Macaca mulatta: one gene and its partners. The protein of the gene in region 1 interacts with the protein of each later gene in a pairwise test. Links are inferred from orthologs where the notes say so. Each region holds a gene or a part of one and is shown on either strand. Other genes may lie near its edges. The genes, in order: DVL3, SNX22 and LNX1.

Evidence for each region.
Region 2: the proteins of DVL3 (region 1) and SNX22 interact in binary tests that used the Homo sapiens proteins (3 or more experiments, as listed by UniProt). The two-hybrid records come from large-scale screens. The link is inferred for Macaca mulatta from reciprocal best matches to the Homo sapiens genes DVL3 and SNX22.
Region 3: the proteins of DVL3 (region 1) and LNX1 interact in a two-hybrid assay, tested with the Homo sapiens proteins (2 studies listed by BioGRID and IntAct). The link is inferred for Macaca mulatta from reciprocal best matches to the Homo sapiens genes DVL3 and LNX1.

What each region holds. Positions count from the first base shown.
Region 1 is NC_133407.1:96,305,256-96,308,904, reverse strand, and holds part of DVL3 (segment polarity protein dishevelled homolog DVL-3), read right to left. Parts: intron 3,066-3,649; coding exon 2,850-3,065; intron 2,753-2,849; coding exon 2,342-2,752; coding exon of another isoform or gene 2,316-2,341; exon of another isoform or gene 2,195-2,315; intron 1,508-2,194; coding exon 1,476-1,507; 3' UTR 1-1,475. UniProt on the Homo sapiens protein: Involved in the signal transduction pathway mediated by multiple Wnt genes.
Region 2 is NC_133412.1:41,496,998-41,500,746, reverse strand, and holds the start of SNX22 (sorting nexin-22), read right to left. Parts: upstream 2,705-3,749; 5' UTR 2,672-2,704; coding exon 2,597-2,671; intron 2,205-2,596; coding exon 2,121-2,204; intron 1,772-2,120; coding exon 1,667-1,771; intron 1,177-1,666; coding exon 1,082-1,176; intron 765-1,081; coding exon 732-764; intron 482-731; coding exon 414-481; intron 29-413; coding exon 1-28. UniProt on the Homo sapiens protein: May be involved in several stages of intracellular trafficking. Interacts with membranes containing phosphatidylinositol 3-phosphate (PtdIns(3P)).
Region 3 is NC_133410.1:80,049,142-80,052,890, reverse strand, and holds the end of LNX1 (E3 ubiquitin-protein ligase LNX), read right to left. Parts: intron 1,368-3,749; coding exon 1,209-1,367; intron 821-1,208; coding exon 685-820; 3' UTR 73-684; downstream 1-72.

The DNA of each region.
Region 1 (3,649 bases):
TGTATTTGGGAATCACCAGCATATCAGCAGCAATTGAGGACATCAGGATGAATGACTCCATTTTGGGAGTAAACAGAAAGGAAAGAGAAGTGAATCAAAGATGGAACGATGGAAGCACTGATACTGACAGGCATGAGCAATCGTGGAGAAATTCTCCAGAGAGTTGGACAAGACAGAGTCAGAGAGAGAAGTACGTGAAACTTCTAGTGGTGGCTAGAAGCCACGGACTAGGTTGGGAACAATTCTAGAGCTCCCAGAAGGCAGGCAAGACTGAGTCACACTTCCAACAAAGCTCCCTGTGCACCAAAATCCCAGGAAGTATTGTTTTTGTTTGCTTTTGATACAGAATCTCACTCTGTCACCCAGGCTGGAGTGCGATCTCAATTCACTGCAACCTCCACTTGCTTCCTGGATTCAAGCGATTCTTGTGCCTCAGCCTCCTGAGTAGCTGAGATTACAGGCAGGTGCCAAAACACCCATCTAATTTTTGTATTTTTAGTCGAGATGGGGTTTCGCTATGTTGGCCAGGCTGGTCTCAAACTCCTGACCTCAAGTGATCCACCTGCCTCAGCTTCCCAAAGTGCTGGGATTACAGACGTGAGCCACCGCAACCGTCCAAGGAAGTACTGTTAATTGAAATAAATGCCAAAATGTCCCTACCTTGGTTTATCCCAAAACCTGGAGCTAAGGACTTCATCTCACTTTTGACACCCCAGCCCCCAAAATATGGAAGCCCAGGACAGCCAGGAGAATTTATAGCAGAGGCTTAAAGAGAAAGTCATGATTTGTTTAAAGTGGAGAATAAGGTGAAAAATAAAACCTGGTACTCTGTCTGGAAGTCCTGGTAGTCTCCTTGCCCAACCTCAATTGGCTTGTGGGCTCCTGTGTCCTTGCTCTGGGGTGTCATGGTGAATGTGAAAACGGGGGAGGTTGTGTGTGGGGGTGGGAATGGTCTGTCAGTCGCAGGGCGAGTCCTCTGCTGAGCCCAGCCTGAGACCCAGCTTACAGGCTTTATCCAGGTGAGAAAATGCCGGGGACATGTGTGCGAGGTTTGAGGGCTACCAGGATGGGGAGAAGGGTGTCAGGGGACCAGCCCCACAACCTAGGAGAGGATTGAGAGGGTCCAGCCCTTCCGGCAGGGACCAGCCCTGAGGCTTTAGTGAACTTGCATAGGCACCTGTGCTTGCGTCTCTGTGCATGTATGCATACATGAGAAAGATAAAGAGCTAAAGAGGCACCCCCCCCCAACTCGCACCCCATCCCCTCGCAGGCTGCCACATGTGGTACAGTCCGATTCTCTCTGGAAAGGAGGAGAGTCTCTCATGCATGGGTGAAGCTGGGCCCTCCCCAGAAGCCTAGTGACCCATTATGTTAACGTGTGGGTGTGGGGGTTGGACATCCTTGGGAAGCCCTGAGGGGCTGCTGAAGCAGGGTTCCTGGTCTCCTCGGAGGTTGGGCCTCCCCTCGCTGGGGGCTCACAGAAAGTCAAACAGCCCGAAATTCTTGGCTGCTCCAGGCCCAGGGAAAATTGGGGGAGGAAAAAAGAAAGAAAAGAAATGTTTCAGGCCTGGAGGTGAGAAGAGCCTGATGGTTAGTAGGGTTAGGGGTCTGAAGGAACCAGCACGCAGGGCAGGCATGGGGCAGGGGTAGAGCAGAGATGCTCCCTGGAAGGCACTAGCCCCTCAGGCAACTGAGGGGGCCCTCTGGGCCTCTGATCCTGGGCACAGGCAGGGATGGCATGGATGGCTACTGGAGGCAACTACAGCTTTAGGTTGCAGGGCTAAGGCAGCAGGCAGGGGGACAGTTAGTAGGGGCAGATGAAGCAAATATATTTTGGTGTCAGTAATGTGGGGTAAAGTCAAGAGGTTTGCACACGTGCCTGATAGGGTGGGTTAATAGAGGGATTATGTAGCTGAATGAATGGTGAAAGGGAGCTAAAGGGGAAAGGAGAGAATGAGGGAGTGAGCATGCCACCAAGGACATTGCTGGGGTCAACTCCCAAAAGGGGGTTTGCAGAGGGGAGTAAGGGGCAGCACCAAGTCTGGTCCCAGGGACAAAAAGGGTCCTGAGAAGTCCTATGCAGCGGTTAGTGGGCAGAGGAAAGGAAGTGGGGCCAGAGGCAGGTTAGGGGACTGCAGAGCCAATCGGTAGGTGCACCCCACCCTCGCAGCACCCTGCGAGCAGTTAGCGCACCTGGATTTAGTTCCGTTTATTTCCCTTTCAGGTACCAGACAAAGTAAAAAAGACGGACGGATGGAGAGAGGAACGCAGCCGGCTGGGGTGGGAGCGGAATGGAGGTGAGGGAGGGGCCCTGCTCACATCACATCCACAAAGAACTCACTGGGGTTTCCCATGGCCATGCGGAAGGACTGTCTGCTGGCGGTCAGTTCCGGGGGCACTGAGGCCAGGTCGCGGCCCGGAGGGGCTCCTGGGGGCCCCATGGCCGCGGGCGGCGGGGGCATCATCAGCATAGGGGGGCCGTAGAGAGGGGGCACTCCGGGAGGACCGTAGCTCGGGTGTGTGTGGTGGCTGCGAAGGCTGCTGGCCAGTGAATGGTGGCTGCGGTGGCTGTGCTCGCTGGCCGCCGGGCCTGAGCGCTCGCTGGGCGCCCGCTCCCGCGGCCCCCGCAGGCTGCTGCGTGTCGTGTGGTCCGATTCGCTGCCGCTGCCCCCCGACTTGGAGTCCCCGGCCTTCGGGTCTTTCTCCTTCCTCCGATCGCTGCCGCTACGGTTGGAGCCACTGCTCCGACTGCCTGTAGGAGGCAAACAGGGCCAGCGCGGGGCAGGCTGAGTGGGCGGGGGAAGCCTGAGGCCTACCTATAGCCTTCCTCCACGGCCCCTCTACCTTACCTTCGCTGTGCTGACTGCTGGCGCTGCCCCCGCCGTAGCTGTAGCCCAGCTCCGGGAAGCCTGGGTGCGGGTTGTAGGGGTGCGGGGGTGGCGGGTACTGGTACGGGAAAGCCATAGGCCAAGGGGCGGCCCCCGGGTGCGGCAAAGGGGCCAGTGTGTCCTGGTCAGAGGCGCCACTGGAGCCATCGTGATCGTGGAGAGACAGGTTGGCCATGTCTGTGGAGGGAAGGGCCGGATGGAGCTAGGTCTTTCTGGAGAGAGGTCCCTAGCCTAGGTCAGGTGGGCTCTGGATGACAGAGACCGTGGTAGTTTCTGGCTAGAATGAGAGGAGGCACAGACCAGAGAGCTGCCCCTTCCGCAGACCCGCTTTGCCACCACCAGAGCCAGCTCCAGGGAGACCCGCCTCAGGAAGGCCTCGAGTCATCATTCTTAGCCAAAGCTGTACCTCCCAATCCCTTTAAGGCCCTTGCCAAGCTTTTGCACTTTCTCTGCTGGCCTCAGTGGGCTAGAAGCGGCAAAACTCTTTGAGACGGAGTCTCATTCTATAGCCAAGGCTGGAGTGCAGTGGTGCAGTTTCAGCTCACTGCAACCTCCTCCCCCCTGATTCAAGCGATTCTCCTGCCTCAGCCTCCTGACAGGGTCACACCACCACGCCTGGCTAATTTTATTATTATTATTTTTAGTAGAGACAGGGTTTCACCATGTTGGCCAGGCTGGTCTCCAACTCCTAACCTCAGGTGATCTCCCACCTCAGCCTCCCAAAGGGCTGGGATTACAGGCGTGAGCCCGGCCTGCAAAAC
Region 2 (3,749 bases), on another chromosome or scaffold:
CCATTCACCACCACATTGGGCAGCAGCTCTGTGGGATAGAATTAAACAGGTCTGGCCTCAGGCCTGCAGCTCCTTGAGCTCCTGCTCATGGGCTCAGCCCCCACTTGGGTGTAGGAGCCCTTGCCAAGGTAGCAGACAGCAGCTGTCCACCCCAAATGAAGCCTCAGCATTCCCAGGTCACATTCTGTTCATATCAGCTTGGTAAAGAAGTCAGGTTGCTGAGGAAATGGACACCAGGGAAGCCAAACTTGTTTTCCTTGTGTCTACAAAGCAGGCTCCAGGGAACAGGAGCAGGAGGTAGTGGCTCCAGAGGTGGGCAGCAGGAAGGTGATGCTGCCTGACGGTCCCAGGAGCTGAGAAATGCCAAGCCCAATACCCTACCCCTGTAGCCCGGTATCTAGGCACCTCCTCACCTGGGGAGGGGGTGCAAACATAGGGATCCATATGGAAGCTCAGGACAGGCCGCTGGTGCTGCTGGGAGCTGGGAGGAAAGAGGGTCATAAACCATGGGTGCAGGAGGCAGGGCAGAATCCCACAGAGGGGTGGAGACGGGGCTGAGATCACCAGGGACCCATGAAGGAAAACATGAGTGGGAAATGGGCTCAGGAGGCACCAAAGGGAAAACAGACTTCAGGGCCCAGGCCAGACAGGCCCAGGGAGCAGGCCCGCCTCCTAGCATATGGCCACTAGGGGGCGGCAGGGGCCAGGCGCGGGCTAGGGCTTTGACTTGCCTGCTCTCGCCAGGCAGGAACTCCCCCAGGGCGCTGAAGAGAAGAGAAACACTGTAAGCTGCCTGGGGATGCCAGGGGAGCGTGAGGAAGGGGTGGAGACACCAGAGCCCAGAACTGCGCCTCCCAGGGGACCACTGCTTCTATTTGTAACAAGCCCCAGTTCCGGAGGTGGCTGGGGTAACCAAGGCTGTCCAAAGAAAAGCCTCTCCACCCAGGTCAAGAAGGCTGGTGACGGTGGTCATGTCAAGCTGGATCCCGGCAGATGTGAGACGAAAGGGCTTGCCCTCCAACACCTTTCCTCACCTGTTCACTGCCGACAGCCCCTGGCCCCCGCCACCGGCCCCCCTTACCCCCAGTTGCTAGCCTTGGGATCTGTGGGGAAGTGCCGAAGTCTCAGGAATTCCAGTAACTCCTTGGGCACCTCCTGGTTCAGGTACAGGATGCCCTGGAGACGACAGAGGAGACTTGCAATCGGACCCAGCTACTAATTTGCATAGCACAGTGCCAATGAAAACGCAGGGCTCTTTGTTCCAAAAAAAGAATTTCAAGACAATTGAACCAGGCTCAGGGCCCTTCTGAGCGCTGGGCCCTGTGTGCACAGGTTGTACCCCATGATGTGGCATAACTTCGCTGTTGGGGGAAGGACCCTCACCCTACATCCCATCAGGAGGGCAGCACAGGACCTCACTCTGGAGGGGACAGGACCTGGCTTTCATGGAGCTGGGACTACCTGTGTCCATTACCTCATTCAGTCCTTTCAACAGTCCAGAGGTGGGTGTTTGGACTTATATTACTCTTCAGAAGATTGATGCTTGAGGTGGTGAATAACAACCCCAAGTCGTGGGTTCACTCCCTGCCATGCCCTCACACCTCTCTGTCTGGGCCACACCCCTGGCACAGCAGGCTGGGGGGCAACCAAGTGTGCCCTCGCATACCTGGATGTAGGCCTCCAAGCCCTGCCGGCGCTGTTCCAACCCTCTGGTCCTCCAGTTGGGCAGGCGTTTCGAGGGGAAGTCGGGCACTTTGTACAGCTTCTTGATCTACTGGAGGTTTACCGCGTGCAATCACAGCATCCCGACTGAGCCCTCAAGCCCTCTTCGCCCGAGCCGGAAACCCTCCCGCGCCCCCGCCTTCGGACTGTACCCTGGGACAGACCCTGGTGAGTGGTGGACAGGCGGAGGGCGAGGAAGGCTCCAACCCACCCACAGACGCCCGGGGGCTGACCGGCCTCGCAGGGACTGAGGCAGTAATAGGGGTGGCGGAGGCTGGGGCTGGAGCTCGCCCGCCGGCCTCACAGGGCCTGGGCAGGGGCTGGACGGAGGCTGGGCCGGGGCCGGGGCCGGGGCCGGGGCCGGGGCCGGGGCCGGTGGGAGGTCGGCGTCGCCTCACCCGCTTGTGCAGCGCGTGGAACTCGCTGTAGCGCCTCGGCACCGTGTGTCTGCGCCCGCTGCACAGCACCTCCACTTGGAACACCTGGCGGCGCGGGCGGGCAGCGGGGGTACGCGTGAGGCCCCGCGGGAGGACACAGCAGAACCTGCGCCCGGCGACGCGCCCACCCTCCCGCGCTCAAAGGCACAAAGCGGCCTTGCGGCACCGCGGCTCCTCGGGGACGCTTCGCTCCCGCACACCTGGAAGAACGGGCTGGCGGACCCTCCCCTCGGCGCCCTGGGGTCCCTCAAGAGCTCGAACCACGGCCCGCGAGGCTGGCAAATCCAAGCGGCCCCCAAACCCTCGACAAGGTTTCCCCCGACGGTCCAGCCCGCAGCGTTTGTTCACCTGGGCCCGGGCTCCGGGTCCCCACTGAGTGCAGCGCGGGCAAATCCTGCGGGTACCGGCGCCCCTCCCCATCCAGGGGCCGCGCTCACCATGTGGCCTTTCTCCGGGCTCTGCCTGGGCCCCTCGGCCTCAGGCCCCACCGACGGGATGTGAACTTCCAGCATCCGCGCCCCGGCCCCGGCCGCTCCGCGCGCTCGGCTCGGAGCCCTAACTCTCCGGGAGCTGACGGAGGACCCCGGCGCGGCCGGCCCCGCCCCCTCGGCCCGCAGGCCCCGCCCCCAGGCGACCCCGCCCCGGGCGTTCCCTTGCGCGGCGGGTCCTGAGCCTAGAAGATTAAGCGGGACCCGGACGCCGCCCCCGAGGTCTAGTGCGCCCGCAGCGCGGGGCAATGGAGTCACCCGTTTGTCAAACATTGACGGAGCCCTCACTGATGCCAGGAACTGGGGAGCAAAAATGTCACCCATCCTGAGTTAAGCGCCTGCTATGAACTAAGGACCGGCCTGTGGCTCCTGGCGTGGCCGGAGGCGGGACCCGGGCCTCAGCGCCGGTCCTGGGGCCAACCAGGGACCTGTATTGTGTTCCTCAGTCCCTTCCCAAGCCTTTCCTTCCTTTAAGCCTGCTCCCTGGGATTGTGATATGGAGTCCCCGGCTGAGGCCACACCTGAGCAAGGCTTGAACCCAATCCAGCTTTGATGCCCCCTTCTCCAGCATCCACAGCACACCCCCACGCCCCCCAACACACACATTCATTCATTGTTTTCATCCATCCATTCACTCCTATTTTCCAACCCTAAGGGTCTCCAGGCTGTTTGTGGGGAAGAGGCAGTTTAGGGACCTAAGCTCCGATTTGGGGGTCAGAAAGCCTGGATTTCAGGAGCTCTGTAGACCTTTGCTCATCTGCAAAATAGGGATAACGTGACTCCTTCAGGCGAGTGTATAAAGTGAGATGATTTGGCGGGGCACGGTGGCTCACGCCTGTAATGCCAGCACTTTGGGAGGCCAAGGCAGGCGGATCACCTGAGGTCAGGAGTTCGAGACCAGCCTGACCAACATGGTGAAACCGTGTCTCTACTAAAAATACAAAAATCAGCCGGGTGTGGTGGCACATGCCTGTAATCCCAGCTACTCAGGAGGCTGAGGCGGGAGAATCGCTTGAACCTGAGAGGCAGAGGCTGCAGTGAGACGAGATCAAGCCATTGCACTCCAGACTGGGCGACAGCAAGACTCTGTCTAAAAAAAAGT
Region 3 (3,749 bases), on another chromosome or scaffold:
CAAGGCCCACTGGTGGAGCAGCGCAAGTTTTTATACAGTCGCTAACGATTGTGGAAAAAAGAGCTTTAGCCATTACTAAAACAAAACAAGTTTATATTCTCTGAGCATTTTTAGGGATAGCCCTAGAACACATTTGTCAGTGATGGTAACAAATAACATGGTATTTGCAAGGATAAATTACTAGGATCTTTTAAATGGTAATAATACAAGTAATCTTAATTAGTATCACATACTAAAAGACAACTATAATTTCTGAAAAATATTTATTTCTTGTTTGATGAAAGCATTGTTTCTCAGCAATGCATTTAAAAAAATCTTTTAGCTGTAAATTAAAAATGGTCATAATGTACCCTTGGCAGATTTCAGCATATACCAAATTTTAAATTTAAATCAACTTGAATTCAGTGGGGTATACAAATCATTTTAGCTGTTTAGGGCTTTTTACTGAATAGAAAAAATATAAACAAAGTTGTAGAGTAATGAGAAATCCTCCACACTGAAAAAGAACTAGTAGTTTTAATATTTTTGGAATCATATTTTCTGAGGTGTAACTGACTTTCATTAGATCATACTTTTCCTGACATTTTAACAGTGTATTTACATATAAAAACTGACAAGATAAATACAGTGTTTCAACTTAGCCTATTTGTGATTTTTATGTTTTTCTCTGACCCATCATTGATTCTATAAAAAAGTGCCAGGCCAAGAAACAATAGTTAGAGTAATTCTTCCTTTAAGTTCTTTCAGCAGTCTTGCCAAGCAAGCATGTATCATTCCTGATGTACTTCTACCATTGACAGCAAGAAGAATATCACCACATCTAAAAAAAAAACCAAGATATGATTAGTATTTTAATTCATTGCTGAAGTTAATGCAAGTTTATCTTAGTGGTCCTAATTTTTGCTGCATCTGATCATTTTAATTATGTTGCTTTTAATTTAGATATTTCTTGCCTCTTATTTACATTCTCCAAACTCACTATCCACTCAGCTTGTGTTAGAAGGAATGCTAAAAGTATGGGGAGTTGTAGTATGGGACTAAGAATATGTGTAATTATTTTGGATTTCTCAGAAGTTGAATGCTACATAAATACTTTAACTCCCCACAAAGTATAATAAATACATGCCTTATCTCAAATGAGGCCAAGCTTTGGCATTTATTAAACAACATTTAATACAAGTTTTTTTGGTTAGTCATTATTTTATTACCTAATTCTTCCATCATTGTATGCTGGTGTTCCTTCAACAATGGATTTGATGAAAAAAGGTTTGTTTCCATTGTATTCTTCATAACCTCCTACAATGCAGAAGCCCAGACTTCCAGCTGTGTTTCTTCGTAATATAATGTCTTTACAGTTATACAAGCACCTGAAATAGAATGTAGTCAGTGTACATGCACATTTAAGTGTTACAGTTAAGGGAATACTTAACTGTGATTCATCCCCCATTCCTTTTGTTGGCATTTTTAATGGCTAAGTAGCACTGCATAGGTCCCACTCAAAATTGTATCGTACCTTGGTGACCTTTGTGCCGTTAGCTGGCTTTTTGTAATTGAACCTCTGTTTTCCATAATTTTGAATATCCTTAAAAAACTGACACCCCCTATTGTGTTCTGTTATACATCTACTGGGAACGATAATCATATTTTTAACTTAAGACAATGCTTGAATTTGTATTAGCAAAAAGTTGGATAAACCTAAATCCTTATTGGTGAACAAACATGGATGTCATATAATATTTACTTGATATAATTTTTAATGAAGGCAAAAATCCTTTGAATAATCTCAATGAAAGCAATTTAAACCTAATCCTAATAAATGAATTTGTATACTTTTTTTGACCTTGGAAAAATACCACTTTACACCCAGTTCTACATGTTTGGCAAGTCATAGAGAAGCATGCAGGCATAAAGTGAACGGAAACAGATACATTTAAAGATTATAAGAACAATTCATATAGGAGGAAAAATAAACTGCAGGAAACTGGATAGGAAGTTATAAAAGGAATGGGAGAAGGAAAGGCCCAGCTCTTCTGTAAATTAGTAGAATCCTCAACTAAAATAGCAAATGAGATTGAAGAAATTTTTATTCACTGGCCCCTAATGAATCAGTGTTCATATAGGTACAGGCCAAGTGTTAACTATGTTACAGTTGCCATAGAAGTGTGTGTCAGGAGTTGAATTTTACTCTATATGACGTTGTTCACCACATTTGTAGCTGTAGTCCAGGAATTGTTTTGAAAGGAAATTGGCCTTTTCATGTTGCCAAAAATCAAGATATGGCTATTTTGTTTATATACCGTACCTTTAAAATATTAATTGCTTTTTAGAACCAATAAAAAGTCTTGTGAAATGTTAAGTGATAAAGTTGATCATTACATTTGTTACCAACCTTGTTAGTCAATGTGACATGACTTTTTTTCATGATGGTGTTTTCACTTGAAATAAAATGAGCTTTAGGGTTTGTTTGGCAAATACCTTTAAGATGTATTGCTGAAATTCAACTCTAACCAGTTCTGAATCTATTGTCATACATATACATCATAACAATTTCTTTTACTGAAATGATTGCTTAAAAGTATGAATTTCATTAAATTTCATATTTTGTAAAATATGTATCTGCTGCATTTCACAGTAAACCTTGATGTCAGTGGTAAATTCATTCTTTGGGAGCTGTGGTGTGTCAGATACACATTTTACATAATGGTTCACTGACTCCTCATGTACAAAGCAGGTAACTGACTATTCTGTAAATACCAAAGCATTAACATTCCCACCTGGGAGGATGTGTGCCCAATTTTTTGGAGAAAGGTAAGAATTAGATGATTGTTATCCAAGGTCATGATCAAATACCAGTTTTAACATTGCCCAGTTTGATATATAAATGAGTATACTCTTACTGAATATTTCATATGGAGAAGCTGTAAACATAACCATCTAAAACATTACATGTTCTAGTTCAAAGCTTTGAACCCAGTAAGTCACAGTGTGTCCATTTTCTTACCTCTTGATACTGGAGAGAACACCCTGCTTTGATCATCTTTCTGCAGATGTTTAAACAAAACACAAAATCCCCTGCCCTCCTGAAGCATCCATTCAAGTTGATACCAGTGTTACTTGTTTTATTTCCTTAAAAAGTAAATGCTTTCTTTTATTGGTGTTGTGTATTTAACTTTATTGCAGCAGTGAGACCTCCTTATGTTAACCCGTTGCAAAGTCAGACCTTGATCTGACTTTGTGGGCATTTTTTTCTTAAGTTGGGTTATTTTACTTCCCACTGGGAAATGGGCAGCTGTTTTTGATCAGTGACCTCAGATACTAGGTGGCTTTAAACTTTGAATGTAAATGTGGACTTCTTTCCTATTCTGCACTCATTCTCTAAATTTAGGCCTATCGAAAAAGATTCGGCATAGTATAAAGAGTTTGGTAGTTTTTCCCAATGAGAAAATTATGGTTACCTCAAGAACAAATTTAATGAAATGAGTTAATGAGTGTGGTGACTCATTTGATTTCCACTGAAATGAGTTAATGAGAATGGTGAAGTCTTGAGCTGCTCAAGAAGCTAAGTTTTTTCCTAAATTTTTATATATCCCCTTATACTACTAATTTAGTCAATACATATTTGAGAACACTGACTTTGAACTAAGTCTGCAGACTACAAAGAACACTAAGGCAGAGCCTCTTTCCTAAGAAAAACACTGTTTAGAAAATAAGTGCATCAGCCAAAGCCAGTTGAGATCTTGTTTCTTCCT